2 linked regions of the Diceros bicornis minor genome follow. The protein of the gene in region 1 interacts with the protein of each later gene in a pairwise test. Links are inferred from orthologs where the notes say so. Each region holds a gene or a part of one and is shown in the gene's direction. Other genes may lie near its edges.

Region 1 (10,092 bases):
ATCCTAAGTGCGGGCTGCATTTAGCAACTTGCTTCTAATGACTAGAATATGGCAGAGCGATGGGATGTCACTTTCAGGATTAGGTTACAAAAAGACAGTGGCTTCCATCTTGGGTGCTGCCTCTTGCTCACTCACTCTGAGGGAAAACAGTTGCCACATTGTGGGCTGCTCTGTGGAGACACCCACATGGCAACAAACTGATGTCTCCAGCCAACAGCCAGTGAGGACCCGAAGCCAGCCACACGAGTGAACTCAAAAGTGAATCCTCCCCCAGTCAAACTTTGGGATGACTGCAGCCCTGGCTGGCACCCTGACTGCAGCCTTGTGAGAGACCTGGAGCCGAAAACACCCAGCTAACCCACATCCAGCTTCCCAACCCATAGAAATTACGAGATGATAAATGTGTGTTGTTTTAAGTCACTAAGTTTTGGGGTAATTTGTTACACAGCAACTGATAACTAATACAAAGAGGTGCCATTGTTATCACCTTCATTTTAGAGATACAGAAACTAAGGCTTAGCCACCTGCCCCAGGCCATGCAATTAGGAAATCAAAGAGCCAAGACTGGTAGCCAGACAACTGGACTGAGAGCCCATGCACTTAACGATTACACTTATGGCCTCCTCATGAAACAGTCTGTGAAGGGAATTTGACTGTTCATGAGAATTAGCTATTTCTATTCTTGTATACTGTCATAGGAAGTATAAATTGGTACTCACATTTTGGAGAGCAATTTGGCAGTATCTATCAAAAAGGGCAAACCCTTCCACCCTGCAATTCTGCTTCTAGGATACTAACTTACAGAAGTACATAGGTGCATGAGCATTTGAGAGCATGAATGTTTATTGTGCATTTTTAAAAGGCTAATAACTGGAAGTAACATAAATGTTCTCTAATAGAGGATTTGGTTGAATTATAATACATCATACATATAATATACAATATATAATACATCATGAAAGACTATGTACCTATTAAATAGAATGATGTAGATTTATATTTAGGGAAATGGAAAGATAAACCTTGATGTCTATGGTAGGTAGGATTCTAAGCTGGCCCCCAAAATTTCCACTCCCTGGTGTACACACACTTTCTCCCAGTTGTTCAAGCAAGCACTAATATAGATGCTGATGTAAAGGGATTTTGCAGTTGTAATTAAGATCCCAAATCAGTCGAGTTTAAGATAGGGAAATTTCCTCAATGGAGCTCATGTAATCAGCTGAGCCCTTAAAAGGGACTGGGTTTTTCCTGGTAAAAGACAATGGAAGTGTGAGAGAGATTCAGCGTGAGAGAGATTCTCCATTGCTGAATGGAGACATGACATGAATGCAGGTGGCCTCTGGGAGCTGAGAACAGCCCCCCAGCTGACTGAGAGCAAGGGAATGGGTACCCTAGTCCTACTATCATACGGAACTTAATTCTGCCACTGACCTGAATGAGCTTGGAAGTGGATTTTTCTCCAAAGCCTCCAGAGGAGAACTCAGCTTGGCTGAAACCTTGATTTCAGCCTGTGATGCCTTGAACAGAGAATCCAGTCATGCCATATTCAGACTTCTGACCTACAGAACTGTGAAATAATAAATGGATGCTGTTTTAAGCTGCTAAATTTTTGGTAGTTTGTTATGTAGCAACAGGAAACTAATGCAATAGATTACTTAGTAGAAATAGAAAGGTAAATTACAGAAGATGTATAGTATGATCCCATTCCCCAGGCTTTCCATAAATATTTGTTGATTTAAAAAAAATAAGGATACATAGAAAAAAAACATGGAGAAGAATATACATCCTACCATTACAGTGGTTATCTCTGGAGAATGGGATTGTGGGGGATGCTTTCTACATTTATGCTATGGAACACTTGAATGGTTTAGAATTAGAACATATTTTTAGTAAGGAACGAAAATGATAAAGATTGAAAATACATAATAAATTTGCCATCCCAGACTAAGATTTAAGTTTCGTCATATCCAACTCTTACTGTTTTAAGTTTTGGAGTAAGTTGTGGCCCAAATAAGTAAAACATTCAGCATTCAAGGGGTCGGTCTTCTCAGTTCTAGAGACTGGTCAATCCACTAAATATGTACTGACCACCCATTGGGTGCCAAGCACCAGCCAGACTCCTTCCCTCCAGCAGACCCTGATTCCCTGCACCATGCCCTGGCTGTCATGGTGTTCTTATCCCACATAGCATTCCACTTCCTCCCTGCATTAATTCAGAAGAGAGAACCAAAATCATTCAAGCTACTATGGCGCCTTTAACCAGATCTACCTGAACCCCAATAATTCTCTGCAAATATAAATAGAATATTTTCTTCTTTTGCTATTTTGCACAAAGGAATCTGGACGCTAGTCAATTCAGGTCATTCATACCAGCAGAAGCTCAGAGATGGAACGAACACAGGAAGTCAAGTTAATAGACAGTATGCATAATAGAGCAAGGATGTTAGTGTCAAAATAATCTGGATTCTGAACTTCACAAGCTGAGGGATCTTGGGTGGGTTACCCAAGCTCTCCAAGTCAGTTTCCTCATCTGTAAAATGGGGACAAATATCTAACTCACCAAGTTGCTGTGATAATTAAATGAGATACTAGATGTAAAAGCCTAGTGCTTGGCATTCATTCATCAAGTGGTAATGAGGACTAAGAATGTGCCAGGTACTGTGAATACTGCGGTGAACCAGGCAGGCAGTTCCCTTCACATGCCCCTCCCCCCAAATTGGGGTTACTGTCTACAGGGGAAAGACAGGCATTAAACAAGCAATTACAATAAACAAATAATTGTGTTTTTTTTGAGGAAGATTGACCCTGCACTAACATCTATTGCCAATCTTCCTCTTTCTTTTTTTCTCCCCAAAGCTCCAGTACATAGTTGTAGAGTTATAGCTCTTCTACGTGGGACGCCGCCTCAGCATGGCTTGATGAGTGGTGAGTAGGTCCGTGCCCAGGATCCGAACCAGCGAACCCCAGGCCACTGAAGCCGAGCACGGGAACTTAACCGCTACAACATGGGGTCGGCCCCAAAGTAATTGTTATAAGAGCAGAACTTCTAAGGCACTACAGGGCTAGTTTAGAGGTCAAGGTATGTCCCAAAATGGTAGCCATGGAAATGATAAGCAAACATGTATTTAATAATATTGTGCTCTGGTAAATTTGTCTTAATTTTCCCAGTCTCAATGTCCTTCTGTCTCCCTCCCTTCCCCTATCCCAAGATCATTATAACATTTCCAGCCTAGCTTTGTCTTCAAGCAGCACTCAAGAAGCCATTTTTTCTTATTAACTCATTTATACAAAAGTGTACATGACTGCAAAGTTTTAGCATAATACCTCTGCCCGCTCCTAACTTCAGTATCTTCATTTTAAGCTATGATTTGGCATCACCCAAGGGAAGAAGGTATCTGTTGTAGAATTTTAGGCTTTGATCTTTTTTTTTAATTAAAAAAACTTTTTCAGCTTGAAATTATTTCAAATTTACAATTCAGTTGTGAAAATAGTAATAAATGTTTCCATATTTGCTTCACGCAGCTTCTTCAAATGTTAACATCTTACATAACCATAGCCCACTTAGGGAAACAAGAAAATTACCAGTGATAAAATACTATTCAGACGTTGACCTTATTGAGAGAAGTGTTGGATCTGAGAAGAGAGAGCCAGGCGCATTCTGGGCAACTGATCACTGGCCTTACTGGTGATTTAAAACAGCGGACAATTCCGAACGCCACTTAGTTCTGGCTTCCAATGATGAAATAAGGGGAGGGGGCATGCATTTTACCTTGCTGATTTTCTTTTGTGTACACTAATGCTAAAATTTACATAGATTCTTGAAAGACATAAACTCAAGAGAGTTCTTATCCCAACAACTATTTAATCAATTCCTTACAAGGTGCCAGGAGCTCTGCTGGACTTGGGGATATCAAAGGTAAGTGAGATTCCTGTTCTAGTTGTGTGCCACTACTCTACTCACCTTTAGAGGGATTATCACATTTACTCCTTACAACAAGCTAGCAGATAAAAACTATTGTTATCCCCATTTGATGGAAGCAAAAATTGAGGCTTAGAGAGCAGGTAAGAAAATCAGACAACTCCTGGGCTTCACTTCCATGCCACGCTGTGATAAGTGCTATTGATTTTTTTTTTTTAATACTTTTATTTATTTATTTCTTTTTCCCCAAAGCCCCAGTAGTTGTATGTCATAGCTGCACATCCTTCTAGTTGCTGTGTGTGGGACGTGGCCTCCGTATGGCCGGAGAAGCGGTGCGTTGGAGCGTGCCGGGGAGCCGAACCTAGGCCGCCAGCAGCGGAGCACGAGCACCCAACCGCTAAGCCACGGGCTGGCCCTGATTTGTTTTCAAGTCTAGAATAACATACTGATATATGAACTCACTTGTCTTCATTTTATACAAAACATAACATGTGCATATTACCATAGAAATCGTTTAAAAGAAAAGCAAATATATAATGAATCTTAAACAGATGGGTATGTTTCGGGACAAAAGTTTGTCAATGGGAAGAGTTTACCCATGTTACCAAATCTCTTTCCCAGAAGGGTTATTGTGTCTGTTAAGAGCATGTCAAGGTACAAGTGTGCACCTGGGAATAGCGTAGGAACAGAGACAGCCTAAAGTTAAGGATGAACAACCTCCTCAGCCTAGGACATCAGTTCTGAAGCGCATATAGTCCCACTTTTTCTGTTTTTATTCGAAGGGATACACAGCCTTGGTCTTTTAACAATACGATTAAATGGTTATTATATTGATCAAAAGTTGTTGTTCTTTTCAAACGCACACATTCTAATATCTGTGTCGTCTTAGTGTTAACTTTTCTTTGGGGCCTGGAGGTGGCGGCTTTCAGAGCTGACCAGGGCGTGGTAACAGCTCTCGCAATGGAGGAGAGCCTCAGCTTTCTCCAAACGTTTGCTGTGATCCTACCGTATTTGAGGATGTGGGTGGCTGATGGTAGAGCCATCCCCGCCAGCAGCAAAACTACTGAAAGAATCCAACCCATTGGTGGGGAGAACTGGCAGCTTTCCACGGGGAGAGCAGCACTGTTGTCCCCACACAGGGGGCGGGGAGACAGATGCGTGTGGACCTTGGGGATCTGTGGGTTTCACTCCATTTTAAAATTCATTTTTAAAATGAATTTGAATTCGAGGTGTCTCAAAGCCGGATCTTCTCTTTTGAGAACAGAGGTGAAGGTGATAGGGAAAAAGCTTTCCCTGGGGGTGCGGGAGGGGAGCCCCAGCGGCGGGAAGCTGGAGAGGACGCAGTCTTTGGGGGAAAGGGCCCTTGGTTGGACCCCCTTCCAGTTCCCGCTCCTCTGCAAAGCTTGTCCTGGACCCCACGGCCGCGTCCCCTCACTGTGCTGGGGAAGGGGACGGAGGAACACACGAGCCCCAGCCTCCTGCCCACCGCACTCCCGCCGCCTCCTCGGGGGGACCCGGGGCTGTGGGGCGCAGAGGCTCAGGACAGGCAGGGCGGGCGCGGCGCCCGGAGGAGACGGCGGCGGGCCGGCGGCGGCCTCGCGGCGCGTCCACATGTGGCGGGGCCGCAGGGGGGGGACGGGGAGCCGAGGGGGAGGGTTTACATCTCAGCGAAGTTCCCGGATGGTCGCAGCCTCCCGGCGCTGAGCGCTTTTCCTGCCCGGCCGGCTCAGCCCTACGGACCAGGGAGAAGTTTCCCCAAAAATGCCCTGCGCGCCGCGGGGCCCTGGAGCCGCCCGGAGCCGCTGCGCGGTAAGGGACGCGCTGCCGCCGCCGCCTCGGGCGCCACCCGGTTCCGGGGTCTCAGGGCAGCGCCCATGAGGAGCCCCGCGGCCGCCCGGGACGCCAGGGAGGGGCCGGGCTCGACGCCGGGGCTCAGAAGCGCCCTTGGCACCGGGTGGGCGCGGGGCGGGTGAGGCGGGCGGGGCGGCCCGGGACGTCGGGGCGCGCGGCCTCGGGAGGGGCGCAGCTCGGGGCGCCGCGGCCCGCGCGTCCTGCGGGTCCGGCGGTTGCTCAGGGAGGAGGGGGCCGCGGGCGGTGGGGCTCCGGACGCGGGCGCCCCCCGGGCTGGGCGCCTTCCTGGGCTCCGCCGGCCCCGGGGCCGCCCGAGGGGCTCGGGACCCGCTCCCGCCGCAGTTCCCCGCGGCCCGGGCTTCGCGGGGATGCTCTGGGGGCGCAGCTACACCCCCAGCTCGGGCGGATGGACTCTCGGGCATCCCCGGGCCAGTTCGTGCGCTGGAACCGCCTCGCCTTCTTCGCTGAGGGCATCGTGCCCATCCCGCAGCTCGGCTCCCAAACTAGCCTCCGGCCGGGTGCTCGCTCTGGGTTGGGTGTAGACGCGCGCCTTAGGTTTGCGTTGACCTTAGAGGCACTTTCAGTCCCCGTCAGCGTCTCTCCCGGGCCTCTCCCGAACTTTCCGGACAGCTTCACTTCGTCTCACTCCCCCAACCTTTTTCAATTAACATATTCTTCCTTTTTAAAAAAGTACAGTTAAAAAAAGTTGCAAATGTTAGAGAAACCAGCTGACCCAGTCGGGGCGACCCAAATCTTCAACTGGTGCTTAGACTTTGACCTCTCTGAGATTAACAAAGGGTGTGTCTGTGTGAAGAACCGGGCCTGGCTAAATCTCTGGTCCTGCTTAATCTCGGAGGAATATCCCTTCCTGGGCCAGGGGCTGCTGGCCTTATCTTAGTTCTCCAGGAAGACTCTCGAGTTGTCAGTAGTGGCTGGGTGGACTTGGTCCCTTTTTCTGAAAATTGCGTGTCACTGTTGTCCCCTGGATAGTCCCCGGACCGCACCTCCAATCCCTGGCCGCGTGTAACCCCAGACTGCAGGCGGTGCAGCAGCGGAGCCCCTGGACACAGGCCCGCCCTGGGTGGGTTTTCTTTTGCCAGTTTCTCAAGGCAATTCAGAACAATACTGTAGCTTCATTCTGAGTCGTTGGCATGTTTTTCCTCCTCAAAAATGCCTTTTTCTATTGCGGATAAAATAACTCCAGGATATTTTCTATTTCAGTTTGTAAATCGCCTTTGGACTTCTTGAGATGAGAGAACCCCAAATAGGCCATCAGCATTTTGCATCTCAGTCACTCTTTACAGTGCTCAAAATACTACCTTCTGCTCTTGCTGTCTTTACCTGCCTATCGTCCCCACAAGGTTGAGTTTCTCAGGGACCAAATCCCCAGCCACCTGTAGGACTCTATTACCTGTTGAATGGAAGTGTGCAAATTAAACTCTGCAGGTGTTACTAAAGCATTTTAATAACATCATCTTCTTCCTTGGGACCTACCCAACTTCTGCCATAACTTTGGCTTCCTGAGAAGCACATAAACTCTTTTAGGTTTGTGTGATGTAAAGCAAATGGATTTGTAAGCAAGGTAAGATCAAATTCTGGGACATTTAGAGACAATGGGATTACTTCCAGCTGGAGAGATTCAGGCCTTTTTTCATTTGTGTATTCATTTGACCAATTAAGTGTCTACTGTCTGTTCAGCCACTTACTGGTGCCCTTTGGCCTGTCAAGTGGGATAATGGAGTGTGAAACAGCAAAAAGCCTCACGTGATGGCACAAGGCATTAGAGGGACACCCAGACACCAGGCAGTGGTCGCACAAAGACACAAGAGCGATAAGAGCTACAGTGTCTTGGTGCTCTGGCCAGGAATGAGCCCCCTTTTGTGGGAAGTGTTCGTCATTGGGTCTGTGTCACTGTCTTTGGTATTTCAGGGTGCTCCTAACTATGGTTGTCATTTTAGGAACATACATGGTTTCTACAGTGCCCACCAGGAGAACAAAACTAAACAAAAGTGCCTTTTATTTGTTGCTGTACCCCCTTCATTTTTAAGTATCTGCTATTTGGGATTCTGTATCTCAGAGCCGTGGTCTTCCTGAAGCCTGCCCTCCAATGAGGTCTCTCAAGTTGCTAGTGATTTCCATACAGAGGATGCTCTGCCTCTATGTCCTAGCAATCCACGGTTCTGCCATGGTGCTGGAAGGTTTGGTGGGCTTACACCTGTGAATGGCTAGGACCCACATATGTGAGTCAGGTCACAGTTGGAATCAAGCCAGATACTCATTTGACATTGAAGTTCCCTGATGGAGTCGATGCTGTGCCCTGTGCTAGGAGTAGAAGGGGAGACCTAGCTCAGAAGGAGATGCAGTTTGCCCCTGAACGCTTACCTTCTGGTAGAGATGAGACATGGTTTCAAAGAGCAAGAATGCAAGGCAGAATGTGGTAAATAAGGTAAAAAAGGTACAGATCAAATAAAGGGAATTTAGAGGGGAGTGAAATTACTTCCAGCTGGAGGGAGTCAGTCCTTGATTAGTTTGTCCATTTGACAAATATTTGTTAAGTGTCTACTGTGTGTCAGGCACAGGAAGATTAATAAACACATTCACATTGCTTTCCACCCTCACAGCTCCAACTGAGGAACAGTTCAGGTTCCGCCTCCCTGCCACAAATGAATGCTTCCTCCCTCGGCCTCGTTGTATTGCCCAGCCCAACATTTGCTAATTGTTCCTCACCACGTAGGGATTACAGTCAGGTCAAAATAACTAACTGCCTTTTGTATACTTTGGAGTAATAAAAACTCTAGGCTCACCAAAGCCCCCAGAAAACCTTCAGTTAGCTTAGTAATGCTATTCTGCTTAACGTGCTTTAACTAGTATTGAAGTGCGCTGGTCCTTAGCCGGGGGTGTGACTAGAAGTTTATAAAGGCTTGATTCTGGGGTGAGGCCCAGGAATCTACTTTTTGAAAGCCCCCAGGTGATGCTGACGTGCTACCACGTGCAAATCCTGTGCCGGTTAAAGCCTCGGCCGGTAAGTCCGACAGATCTTACTTCTACACCCAGCTCTGTCTTGGACAAGTTCTGCGACTTCCATATCTTCACCTTTAAAATGAGAGTAACCACTTCTTTCTACAGAGTTGTTATGAGGGGCGGATGCGGTCATGGACGTGGACCACTTAGCAGATTATCCGGGACGGTGCTGCTGCTTGGTATTTTTGGGCTATTATCGTTATCAGTGTTCGTTTGTACTATTGCTGTTCCTCTTTCCGTATGAAAATACAAAAAAAGCCTAAACACAGGAACTGCTTTTTATATAAATTAACATATAATAATCCCTAAGCTGTCTGTAGTTTATTGTGTGTTTCACACCAGTCACCTGGTATTATTCACCTGGTACATATTCTGTTAACAACTGAAAAGGAGGAATCTCACAGAAGAATCTCAGTATTGGGGGACTACCAGCCTGTGGTATCTGCTTAGCCAGTCAAGCCTACTCTGCTGAGGTTTTCAGGGCAGATAAAGGTCAGGAAAGTGAAGATGGGCTACCTTCCTGGCCCTTTGGCACCACGAGATGCCAGGGTAACATGTTGTGGCAGTCATACAGATGTAGGGGTGACCAGTGGATTAGACTGCCCCAGGCCGAGCTGTAGCACCTAAGCCCACAGGGTAGGGTTGCCATTGCTTTTGTGTTCTCTTGTGGTCAGGGGTCAGGAAACTTTGATTCCTGGGGAGCATGATCATTATTACAGTCTTCAGATTAGTCATAAATACTTGTGAGAAGTCAATAATAATTGACTTAGCCAATACTTAATAAAAGAACATAGCTAAAATAAACAGGTGACAAAATTACCTACAATTTTCATTAGTTTAGAAGCCTCAGTGAACATGGTTCATATTGTAAAAACATGTTGCTGTGATGTTATACAAGCATACATTGTAGCGTTGCTTACCATGGATATATTTTTTCTCTTCTAATGAGCCATCTTTCCAGTATAACTCAATTTCTTCTTTTTAATTTCCTTTTATCTCTTAGTTATATTAAGTGAATCAAATTCTTCAAAGCTTTCTATGATCTGACCCAAGCTTTTAAAAATCTCTCCTTCCTTTCTTCCTGTCTTCCTTCCTTCCTTCCACTCTCTCTCCCTCTTTCCCTTCCTTTCTTCCTTTAATGTGACTACTTACTATGTGTCATTTCATTGAATCCTTTAATAGTCACACAACCCTGTGAGGTAGCTTCTACTCAGATATATGTAGAACCTGAGGCTAAGAGAAGTTAGGTAATTTGTCCAAGGTCACACAGCTAGGGGGGGAGATAGAGCTAGTCTGCAAAC
Region 2 (10,917 bases), on another chromosome or scaffold:
GCTCCGCTCACCCTCGATGGAGATGACGTGCTCCCGGATCTGGTTCTGCAGCGCCAAGTCCTCGATGCGCTCGATCAGGTCGTAGATGGCGTAGATATTGGGATGCACGGACTCGAAACGCTGGATCTCGGCCCGGATGGCCGCGGAGTTGGAGAGCGCGAACTGCTGGGGGGGCCCGCCGGCCAGCTGCTGCGAGGGGCCGCCGCCACCCCCGGCCCCCGGCCCCGCGCCGCCGAACTGCCCACCGCCCCCCGCGCCGCCGCCACCGCCGCCGCCGCCCCCAGGCGCCGCCAGGCTCGGCTGCTGCTGCGGGCTCTGCCCCCCGCCCGCCTGGAAGTTCATGGCTCCGGAGCCGCGGGGCCCGAGGCGGGCCCGGCTGGGGCCCGAGGCGGCGCTGCGGCGGCGGCGGCGGGCGGGCGCGCGGGGCTGGCGGGGCCGGGACTACGGAGCCGGCGGCGCGGGGTTAGCGCATGGGGCCGGGGGCCGGGGGCCGAGGCCGGGAGGCGACGCCGCGCACGCTGTGGCCGCCGCTGCCGGGCGCTTCCCGGCGCGGCAATCCCCGCTGCCTCGGACCAGCCTCCAGCGGCAACAACAACGGGACCGGGAGCGCGCGGCCCAGGCCCTCCCCCCGCGTCATGCGCACGCACCGCCGCCCCCGCCGGCTCCAGCACACGCAGCTCAGGCCCCCCTCCCCGCCGCCCCCGCCCCTCCTGCGCGCCAGCCCCAGCGCCCCCGCCCCTCGCTCGCTCCCTGGTTCTGCAGCCTCCACCCCCGAGCCGCGCGCTCCAGCCCTGGTGCCCCGGCCCCTCCCACCTAGCCTTGGCCCTTCCGCCTCTTCTCCAGCCCCAACCCACACCCGCCGTGAGGGCCACTCGCTCTCAGGGGACGGCTGCCCTGGCCTCCTCCTGGCCCCGGCTGTCGCTTTCGCCTCCCTGTGCTGGTCTGAGTGGGGTGTCCGATCTCTCGGCAGTGCCCGAACAGTGCCCTACGCCTGAGGGTGCTGATCAACGCGGCTAATTGGCCAAGGAGGGCCGCCAGCCCAGGACCGGCTGCGCCTCACTTACGTCGTCCTGCCTTCAGTGCAGCACAAGCTCCCCTGTCCCCGGCCCCGAGGTCAACCCTAGAGACTACCCCGTCCCCTGGGGCTCTCCCTCTAGCCCTCCCCTGGACTCTCCACTGCTGGCTGCAGCACAGGCTGGAAATCTGGGCTCTTGGCTTCTATTTCCAGTTCTCCCTGAGAAAGTCATCAGTGATGTCCTTGGAAATGACACTTTGAACAACAACATCCCCACTCTTAATTTCTGCTCTCTCCTAAAAGACCTTCCTGCTGGACTGAGGAGGGTTCCGTGACCGCTGATGGAACCCACTGGTACATAGAGGAAAAAAAGAGAGGAATCAAATATTATGCCTTCTTCCCCCACTCACCCCATTCAAGACACTTACCAGAGGCTCTCTTAATTGTCCTCACCCCCTTGTGCATTCTATGTTCCTGTCCACTCCTTCTGGAGCCAGGGAGCTCCCTTCAATGTCCCAGTTCCTCTGTATCCCATTGCTAAAGCTGTCTGCAGTTCTGCTAGCCACCCCTCCCCAACCTTTCCTAAAACCCACCAGAGGTGGAATGAGCAGGGCACTGACCCAGCCAATCAGCCTGCCGTGGCTGCACCCCAATGTTCTCTGGCACAGTTAACACATATCCTTTTTACACATACTTCCACTTCCCAGGCCAAGCTGGACCTTTCCCCAGCATAAAGTTGCCCCTCATTCAGCAACCCACACAACTTTGCCCCAGTACCAACCTGGTCACCATTCCTGAGTTTCTTGTACCTTCCAAAGAACTAGATGCAAGCTAATCAACACCAGGGGCCTCCCCAGCTCCTGAGAGATATGGGTTCTATTTACCTGTTTGATCTTAAGGATGTCTTGTACCCTCACTGGGCTTCATCTACAAAACAAGTGGTTGAACACAACACCTAGCTCTGATCTGTAATTCTAAAAGCGGTATCTAACATCTCTTTTAGATGCTTAATTAGAATTGATGGGGCCGGCCCCTTGGCTTAGTGGTTAAGTGCATGTGCTCCGCTACTGGCGGCCGGGTTCAAATCCTGGGCGCGCACCGACGCGCAGCTTGTCAGGCCATGCTGAGGCGGTGTCCCACATACAGCAACTAGAAGGATGTGTAACTATGACGTACAACTATCTACTGGGGCTTTGGGGAGAAAAAGGGAAAAAAAGGAGGAAGATTGGCAATGGAAGTTAGCTCAGGGCTGATCTTCCTCAAAAAAAAAAAAAATAGAATTGACAACAGGAAGTTGCACCAGGTACCCCCCCCCCCCCCCCCCCGGGAGAGATGCTGAAGGTAAAGAGTTCCTCAAATGTGTTGCCCCAGCAGCCAGCACACCTGTTTTAGCGCTGGTGGGCTGTCTACCTGCCTGTCTCCTCTATTAATACATGAGCCATATAAAGGCAGGGACAGGGCCTGATTCACCATTGTATTCCCAGCATCTTGCACAGTGCCCGACATATAATACACATTTAATAAATGTTTGTGGAATAAATGAATGAATGGAAGGGAAGGAACTAGAGATAACTTAGTTCTTTTTCTTTTTTTTTTTGGTGAGGAAGATTGACCCCGAGCTAACATCTACTGCCAATCTTCCTCTTTTCTTGCTAAGGAAGATTAGCCCTGAGCTAACATCCGTGCCCATCTTCCTCTATTTTGTATATGGGACGCCGCCACAGAATGGCTTGATGAGCAGTGTGTAGGTCTGTGCCTGGGATCTGAACCAGCAAACCCCAGACCGCTGAAGCAGAGCGCCCAAACTTAACCACTATGTCACCAGGCCAGCCCGAGATAAGTTAGTTCTGTACGTTATAAATCTAAATTGACTTTCCCAAGGCAACACTTGGAGTACTTACTCCCACAAGTAGGCATGTGCTATGGGAACACTAGGGTACACAACTTTTAATCAAGACTGGCCTATAAAATCCGGGATGTGAGATCTCTGTGCCTATAGGAGCCCAGAGGAAGGAGGGAAAATCCACAGAAATTAGCTGGCCCAGGCCAGGCTGAGACTCAACATCCTCTACACAGTAACAGGCTAACGACCCAATTTCTAGGGCCAGGTTTGGGTGGAGGGAGTGTTCTAAAACTAGGTGAGCAAATATCTACTGAATGGCAGATTCCTTACATAGTTTTTGTTTTTTCTTTTTGTGAGGAAGATCGGCCCTGAGCTAACATCCGTTGCCAATCTTCCCCTTTTTGCTGAGTAAGATTAGCCCTAAGGTAACATCTGTGCCCACCTTCCTCTATTTTGTATATGGGATGCTGCCACAGCATAGCTTGATGAGCCCTGCATAAGTCCGTGCCCCGGTCCGAACCTGCCAACCCTGGGCCATAGAAGCAGAGGGTATGAACTTAACCACTACACCACCGGGCCAGCCCCACCTGACATAGTTTTCACACATTTAGTAAGCCACCTAATTTCTTCCTTACAATTGCCTTATGAGGTATGTTTTAGAAATGAAGAAGTTTAGGGGTCAAAGAAATTCAATAACGCATCCAAGGTCATATAGTTGATAAGCACGGGACAAGGGATCAGCGTTTGTGCCAGGTTCCAAAGTCCATGCTTCTTTCACAGTCTTGCAGGGGCGAGGTGGAGGAGGGGACCAGGGCAACAGGACAGCCCAAGCCACCCTGGCCAGCCCCGGGGACTGGTATCCTCAGGCATCCTGGTGGGGCAGCCCGTGGGTACTGGGTTCTGGGCTGAAGAATCCATTTAGCGGGCCCAAGGTGCCTGCTGGCGTCCACTCTTACATAAGGGTAGGCCGGGGTAGAGCCTATCTGAGCCCCCAAGAGTCTGCATCTCGAAACACGGGTGCGCTGACGTGCACTGGCTGACGTCCGTTTCTGGAGTGACAGATGCTCTGGCTGCGGGCGGGGGAGGGGGCGGATCCTGCTGCCGCCCAAACCTCTGCGCGCTAGCACAACCCCTGAACCCGCCCCCGCCGGCCTCCCAGCTACTTGCGGGAACCAGCCCGCCGAGCCCCGCACGTGGGTCTGCATGGCTGAGGGCGGGGACTGCTCACGGAGCTACACTACAAGTCCCACAATGCGCCAGGCGGAGGCGTCGGGGGCGGGGAAGGAGGGGTGTCTTCAGGTGTCTGCGACCTCGGCGCCTCCCGCCCGGAAGTGCCCGAGGGTCTGCTATGGAGCTGGCGCAGCCGGGCGGTGAGTACCCGCGCCGTGACCGCGCCCACCCCGCCGCCCCTGGCCCCCGCTCGCCCCGCCCGGGGCTCGCCCGTGTCCTCCCGCGGCTCCGGGGGGCGGGAAGATGGGAGGAGTGATGGAGGAGTTGGGGGTGGGGAGGGCGAAGTCTTGGATTCCCGGGCGTGATCTGGGGTCTGCAGAGGCTTGGGTTTGCAGAGGCTTCCAGAGGAGGCGCAGAGTCGGTCTGCCGCGGGCTGGGGCTTGAGTGGACCAGGAGGGACCCAGTTGGGTGAGGGGTAGCAACCCTTGGAGGCTCCGGATTGCCAAAAGGCGGAGTTTGACGTTTGGTGTGGGGAAGCCGTGGGAAGCAGTCCCGTGCCGCGGGTGGGATTTGGGTACATGGTAACGGGGTGGGGGTGGGGGGCATAGAGGCCCTTTTTCTTCCCCCTTGGAGAAACTTTAGCGACGGAGTAGATAACCTTTGGGGTAGATAAACTTTGGGATGAAGTGGACGGAAGAATAGGTAAGCTTTGGGTGAAGTTTGGTGGAGGTTGAATTTAGGGGAGAGGTTACTTAAAAGGTCAAGGCCCTTACCTCGGATAGGGTTTGGGTGAATTGGGGAACTGGTTAGAGACCAAGAACTCAGATTACAAAAAGTTAGGACTTGGCATTTGGTGATGGGAGAGGGCACACGAGGCAAGTTTGGGGTGACTGGGAGTCAGAGCAGTCTGTGCCCCCGGGGTGGCACTTGGTAAGGGGGCGGAGGAATGAGGGCTGCAGGAGAGTTGTGGTGGGATGGCTCAGGAGCCTGCTGAAGTTGAGACAGCTCTTGGCCAGTGAGCCAGCTCCTCATGGCTTCTTTGTGCCTCTCCAGCTCGGTAGCGTGGTGGGCAAGGCGGGTGCCATGGCCCTGATTGAAGGGGTAGGTGATGAGGTGACCATCCTTTTCGCGGTGCTTGCCTGCGTTCTGGTGCTGGCTCTCGCCTGGGTCTCAACACACACCGCCGAGGGCACCGACTCGCTGCCCCAGCCGTCAGGGATCCCAACACCAGCACAGCCCAGCGAAGCTATGGCAGTCACTGACAGCATCAGAGGGGAGGCCCCAGGAGCAGAGACCCCCAGCTTGAGACACAGAGGTCAGGCTGCACAGCCACAACCTGGGACGCCGCTCCCAGCAACGCCGCCACCCCCGGACTCCCCTCAGGAGCCCCTAGTACTACGCCTGAAATTCCTCAACGATTCAGAGCAGGTGGCCAGGGCCTGGCCCCACGACACCATCGGTTCCCTGAAAAGGTAAGCTGGGATGAGGACAGGAACGAAATGCTAGAGTGGGGTGGGAGTGATCACACACCTGGAAGGGCCACCAGAGCTATCTGAGACTGCTCCCTCATTTTATAGATGAGGGAACTGAAGTTCCCAAATTGCAGACTGTGTTGTTGCCCTGTAGCAGGAGGGGACCCCCTTGAAGGCCATGACCTGGGTGGTGGGAGGAGGGCAGAGATGAGGGGTGGGAGTGTTGTTCTGGGCAAGGGACTAGGATTGCCTGAGGCCTGCTCTATTACCCAGGTCCCTCTTTCCTCAGGACCCAGTTTCCCGGCCGGGAACAGCAGGTGCGGCTCATCTACCAAGGGCAGCTGCTAGGAGACGATACCCAGACCCTGGGCAGCCTTCACCTCCCTCCCAACTGCGTTCTCCACTGCCACGTGTCCACGCGGGTCGGTCCCCCACACACCCCCTGCCCACCGGGGTCAGAACCAGGCCCCTCAGGGCTGGAAATAGGCAGCCTCCTGCTGCCCCTGCTGCTGCTGCTGCTGCTGCTGCTCTGGTACTGCCAGATCCAGTACCGGCCCTTCTTTCCTCTGACCGCCACTCTGGGTCTGGCCGGCTTCACCCTGCTCCTCAGTCTCCTGGCCTTTGCCATGTACCGTCCGTAGTGCCTCCACGGGCTCTCGGCAGTGTTGCTGGCCGCTCTGGACCTTGCTCCCCACGACACGGTGGGAGCTGCTGTCTGCCCAGGCCTGCCTCTCCGGCCTGCCTCTTCCCACTACCCTGGAGCCCAGCCGTGCGCCGCAGGGCACTCCGGGGGCCGGCAGAGGCCCCTCCCTGTGACCTCCATGGCTCTGGGCCACCTCCCGGGGCTGCTGGCCCTCAGGCCCCACTGACAGTCGGCTCCTCGGTGTCAGGCAGCTGCTGTCGCTGCCTTGGCCCGGGGCAGAGCCGGGCCACGCCCCTGGGCCCGTCCTAGTGTTCTGAGGACCCAACACATAGCTTCTTGGGCTGATCTGGGGACCCAAAGACTGTGGGCGGCTGGTGAAGGGTAGCTGGGAGGAGCGGAGGGGGTTCTCCGGGACATGCGCAGATTAAATAACTGTGAAGTTTTCACTCTCGGTGTGTATCTGGGTTTGTGGGCCGTGGGGGCAGGGGGCGGGGAGCCCTCGCCCACTGGGAGAAAAGGAGTGAAGGGCTGTACGGGGCTCTCGCTCCTGCACAGCCTGCCCATACCGGCCGCTGGCTTCCCCTCTCCTCTGCGCCCCAGCTTCAGCTCCCAGCTCTCTGGCTCCGCCCCGGTGACGCGCGCGCAGCTTCCCGGAAACGGGGGGAGGGGCCTCGCGGCGCCCCGGCGCGCGGGGTCTGACGGGAGCCACGTCTTTGCTGGCGGACGACTGAGCCGGGATTGGTGTCCGGGCGGCGATCCGGGGCTGCTGGGAAGATGGCGGACTCGGTGGCCCGCCGATGAGGAGGCCGCGGGGGGAGCCCGGCTCCCGGGCCCCGAGACCGACTGAGGGAGCGACCTGCGCGGGGCCTGGGGAGTCATGTAGGGGCGGCGCCTGCGGGGCGGACGCGGGAGGGCGGCGGGAGTTGGTGTTGGCGACAGTGACGACCGTCTCCTGGCGCCCCCGGGCCGGGTGGGTGTGGGGGCCCCTGACACCGCCGACTCCGCGCCGCCGCAAAGCCGCTCTCTCAGCCCCACGGGCGCTCTGCGAGGTGGGCGCCGCGTGCTCGTTTCACGGGCGAGGAGGCTTGGGCGGAGAGACGAAGCCACTTGTCCAAGGTCACGCAGCTGGTAAGTGGGAGCGCCCAGCTTGGAACCCAGGACCGTCCGGCTGCGGAGCCCGTGTTCCACCCTCCGCGCCGCCGCCGCCGCCGCCTCCTGCGGGAGGGGGAGGTGGTCGGGAGGGCGTACGCACCGGGCGAGCTGGGCTCCAGGCTTGGCGCCACCACTAACCCGATTCGTGACTTCGGGCTTAACTTAACCCCTTCGCTTCTCTGGGCCTTGGTTTCTCCACCTGGGAAATCGAGGTAATGCCAGCCCTGCCTGTCTCCTCAGGCGTGTAGGGAAGATCAGAGGAGATAATGCATGTGGAACTGCTTTGTAAATGTCACTGCGCTGAGCACGCTGAAGGACTGTGATTGCTGCTTCAAATGAGTGGAAGGAGGCAGAGGGGCGGGGTGGGGAAGAGGACCAGAGCGGTCACAAGGAAGGGTGAACACGAGTCTAGGTTGCTCCGACCCCAGGCCTTCTGAACGGGAAGTGAGGTGAGGAGCAGATAGCAGGTCTTTCTCCCCTTTGGAGAAAACCTCACCCCCTTTTCTGGGCCACCCCTCAGGGTCTCCATCACCCAACTCCATGCTTCGAGTCCTGCTCTCTGCCCAGGCCTCTGCTGCTCGGCTGTCTGGCCTGCTGCTGCTCCCACCAGTACAGCCCTGCTATCTGGGGCCCAGCAAGTGGGGGGACCGGCCTGCTGGAGGAGGCCCCCATGCAGGCCCTGTGCAGGGGCTGCAGCGGCTTCTGGAACAGGCGAGAAGTCCAGGGGAGCTGCTGCGCTGGCTGGGCCAGAACCCTACCAAAGTGCGTGCCCACCACTACCCTGTGGCACTCCGTCGTCTGGGCCAGCTCTTGGGGTCTCGGCCACGGCCCCCTCCCGTGGAGCAGGCCACCCTGCAGGACTTGAGTCAGCTCATCATCCGAAACTGCCCCTCCTTTGACATTCACACCATCCACGTGTGTCTGCACCTTGCAGTCTTACTTGGTGAGGAGGGGTCTGGGGGTTGGGTGTTAGTGGAAGAATAGAGAGAGCAGCAGAGGCCCTGAGATCCCTGTCAGAATGCACCTCTCCGGTTTTGCCAGGAATGGCACGGGCCCCGCACACTGGCTGCTGCTCCCCGGCATCCACAGCAGACACGGGGGGTCAAGCAGCATTTGTCCAGCCTCCCTAGGGCGCCACTCCAGATCCCTTGTAATCTAGTGCTCTAGGAAGCCATGACAATGTCACCATTGGCAGGAGATGAGAACTTATTTGTCCTCTTTGTATAAGGCCTTCCCCACAGGCTGTTGTGATACCTCCTGTTCACGCAACATTTCACATTTCTCCAGTGTTTCCATTTATGCTAGAGCAAACCTTCCAGCCCAGAATGTGGAGACGAGGAAGGTTGGGAATTCACTAACTAATCCCCATGACTGGAGCGGAGCAGGGCAGTCCTTAGCAGGACTGCCTTCTCTTACCCTCTCCCTCTCAGGCTTCCCGTCAGATGGGCCCCTGGTGTGTGCCCTGGAGCGGGAGCGAAGGTTCCGCCTCCCTCCGAAGCCGCCTCCCCCTCTGCAACCTGTCCTTCGTGGTGGGCAAAGGTTGGAAGCTGCTCTGAGCTGCCCCCGTTTCCTGCGGTATCCACGGCAGCACCTCATCCGCAGCCTGGCAGGTGCTGGGGGAGCTAATGGCAGGTGGGGAGGGGCAGAGGAGGAGACAGGTGATGGTGTCTGGGCTAAGGTGGAATCTAGTCTGGAGGTCTGGCCTGAGGGTCCAGCGTCATGGGCTGTTCTTCGCAGAGGCCGGGCCAGAGGAACTGACCCCGCACGTGATGGTGCTACTGGCCCAGCACCTGGCCCGGCACCGGTTGCGGGAGCCCCAGCTTCTGGAAGCCATTGCCCACTTCCTGGTGGTCCAGGAAGCCCAGCTCAGCAGCAAGGTGGGATTACCTCCCAACCTCCCACGCTCCTCTCCTAGTCATCCTCAGTCACCCTGTCAGGCTCAGCTGCCTGTCCAGCTTGATTGGCTGCTTCCTGCAGCAGACAACCCAGGGAGGCTCTCTGCTCGTTCCCCCGGGACTCCATCTTACTCACACCCTCGGCTTGTCCAGCTCCCCAGCACTTATGCCTGGTTCTCTGCAGTTCTCCGGGCACTCTTAGCGCTGTCCCAGCTTCATTGATCCCACTCCTGAGCCTTCAGGGCCAGACCCACAGCGATGTCTCCTCTGCTTGTGTGGATGAATCACGTGGGGCTCAAGACTGCTCATGCTGTTGAACTTCCAGTGTGTATGTCACGGGTAGTAGGATTGTTCGATGTTATAAGCTTGCAGGCCACGCCTCCCCGGGGTTCAGCTTGTAAAGGATGTTGGAGAACCGTTCTGTGCTGTGCTGGGTGACAGGCTGCTCTTTCTCCACAGGTGGTACAGAAGTTGGTCCTGCCCTTTGGGCGGCTGAACTACTTGCCCCTGGAGCAGCAGTTTATGCCCTGCCTTGAGAGGATCCTGGCTCGGGAAGCCGGGGTGGCCCCCCTGGCCACGGTCAACATCTTAATGTCCCTGTGTCAGCTGCGGTGCCTACCCTTCCGAGTCCTGCACTTTGTCTTTTCCCCGAGTTTCATCAACCACGTCAGTGGTGCGCAGCCAGGAGGGCCGCTGGGAAGGGAAAGTGGGGTCGGGAGTCTGCAGCCCAGCAAGCCTCAGTCCACTGTCCCGCAGGCACCCCTCACGCCCTGATTGTGCGGCGCTACCTCTCCCTGCTGGACACGGCCGTGGAGCTGGAGCTCCCAGGATACCAGGGTCCCCGCCTTCCCCGAAGGCAGCAAGTGCCCATCTTCCCCCAGCCGCTCATCACTGACCGTGCCCGCTCCAAGTACAGGTGGATGGGCACCTTGGGGGAGGGGAAGACGGGAGGGGCTGGCCCGCAAGAAGCACAGAGTAGAAAAGCCAGAGGGACCGTGAACTGTCCACGCTGATGCACTCTTAGCAGTCACAAAGAAAAAAAACGGCCTTGAGGCAGCAAAGGCATTTGCCTGGGGTCATGGAGCTAGGCGGACCGAGCTAGCACGAGACTCCTGAGAGCGGTGCTCCTTCTCCCTCAGTCACAAGGACATAGTTGCTGAGGGGCTGCGCCAGCTGCTGGGGGAGGAGAAATACCGCCAGGACCTGACCGTGCCTCCTGGCTACTGCACAGGTGAGCTCCAGATGCGTGGGCGGTGGCCAGCAACATGGAGCCCTAGCTAAAAGCCAGTGGCCCTTTGTCTCCCCCCCTCCAGACTTCCTGCTGTGTGTCAGCAGCTCTGGTGCTGTGCTTCCTGTAAGGACCCAGGACCCCTTCCTACCATATCCTCCCAGGTCCTGTCCACGGGGCCAGGCTGCCTCTCAGCCCACTACCCACGACCCTGCCCAAAGGTAAGGGAAGAGGGTAGGAGACCCTCCTAGGCCTCCGTAGAGAGCATCCCTGAGCCCCCGTCTGTTCCCTCTCCAGGGTGGTGCTGATGCTGCGGGAACGCTGGCATTTCTGCCGGGATGGCAGAGTGCTGCTGGGCTCCCGGGCTCTGCGGGAGCGGCACCTGGGCCTGATGGGCTACCAGCTCCTGCCGGTGAGAGCCTCTGCCTCCGTCGCTCGACTCCATGTGCATCCTCACCCCACCCCCACCCTGCAGGCCTTGTGGGTTAGTAACCTGCTG

Evidence for each region. The genes of interacting proteins can lie anywhere in the genome.
Region 2: the proteins of WIPF1 (region 1) and FASTK interact in binary tests that used the Homo sapiens proteins (3 or more experiments, as listed by UniProt). The two-hybrid records come from large-scale screens. The link is inferred for Diceros bicornis minor from reciprocal best matches to the Homo sapiens genes WIPF1 and FASTK.

The regions. Positions count from the first base shown.
Region 1 is NC_080749.1:55,573,320-55,583,411, reverse strand, and holds the start of WIPF1 (WAS/WASL-interacting protein family member 1), read left to right. Parts: upstream 1-5,616; 5' UTR 5,617-5,728; intron 5,729-10,092. UniProt on the Homo sapiens protein: Plays a role in the reorganization of the actin cytoskeleton. Contributes with NCK1 and GRB2 in the recruitment and activation of WASL.
Region 2 is NC_080742.1:96,741,178-96,752,094, reverse strand, and holds the start of FASTK (fas-activated serine/threonine kinase), read left to right. Parts: upstream 1-6,856; 5' UTR 6,857-6,940; coding exon 6,941-7,022; intron 7,023-7,028; exon of another isoform or gene 7,029-7,271; intron 7,272-7,535; exon of another isoform or gene 7,536-7,815; coding exon 7,816-8,238; intron 8,239-8,725; coding exon 8,726-8,905; intron 8,906-9,032; coding exon 9,033-9,172; intron 9,173-9,649; coding exon 9,650-9,863; intron 9,864-9,946; coding exon 9,947-10,106; intron 10,107-10,329; coding exon 10,330-10,421; intron 10,422-10,503; coding exon 10,504-10,639; intron 10,640-10,715; coding exon 10,716-10,830; intron 10,831-10,917. Other genes in the region: TMUB1 (transmembrane and ubiquitin-like domain-containing protein 1), read left to right, coding at 5,112-5,500, 5,790-6,141. UniProt on the Homo sapiens protein: Phosphorylates the splicing regulator TIA1, thereby promoting the inclusion of FAS exon 6, which leads to an mRNA encoding a pro-apoptotic form of the receptor.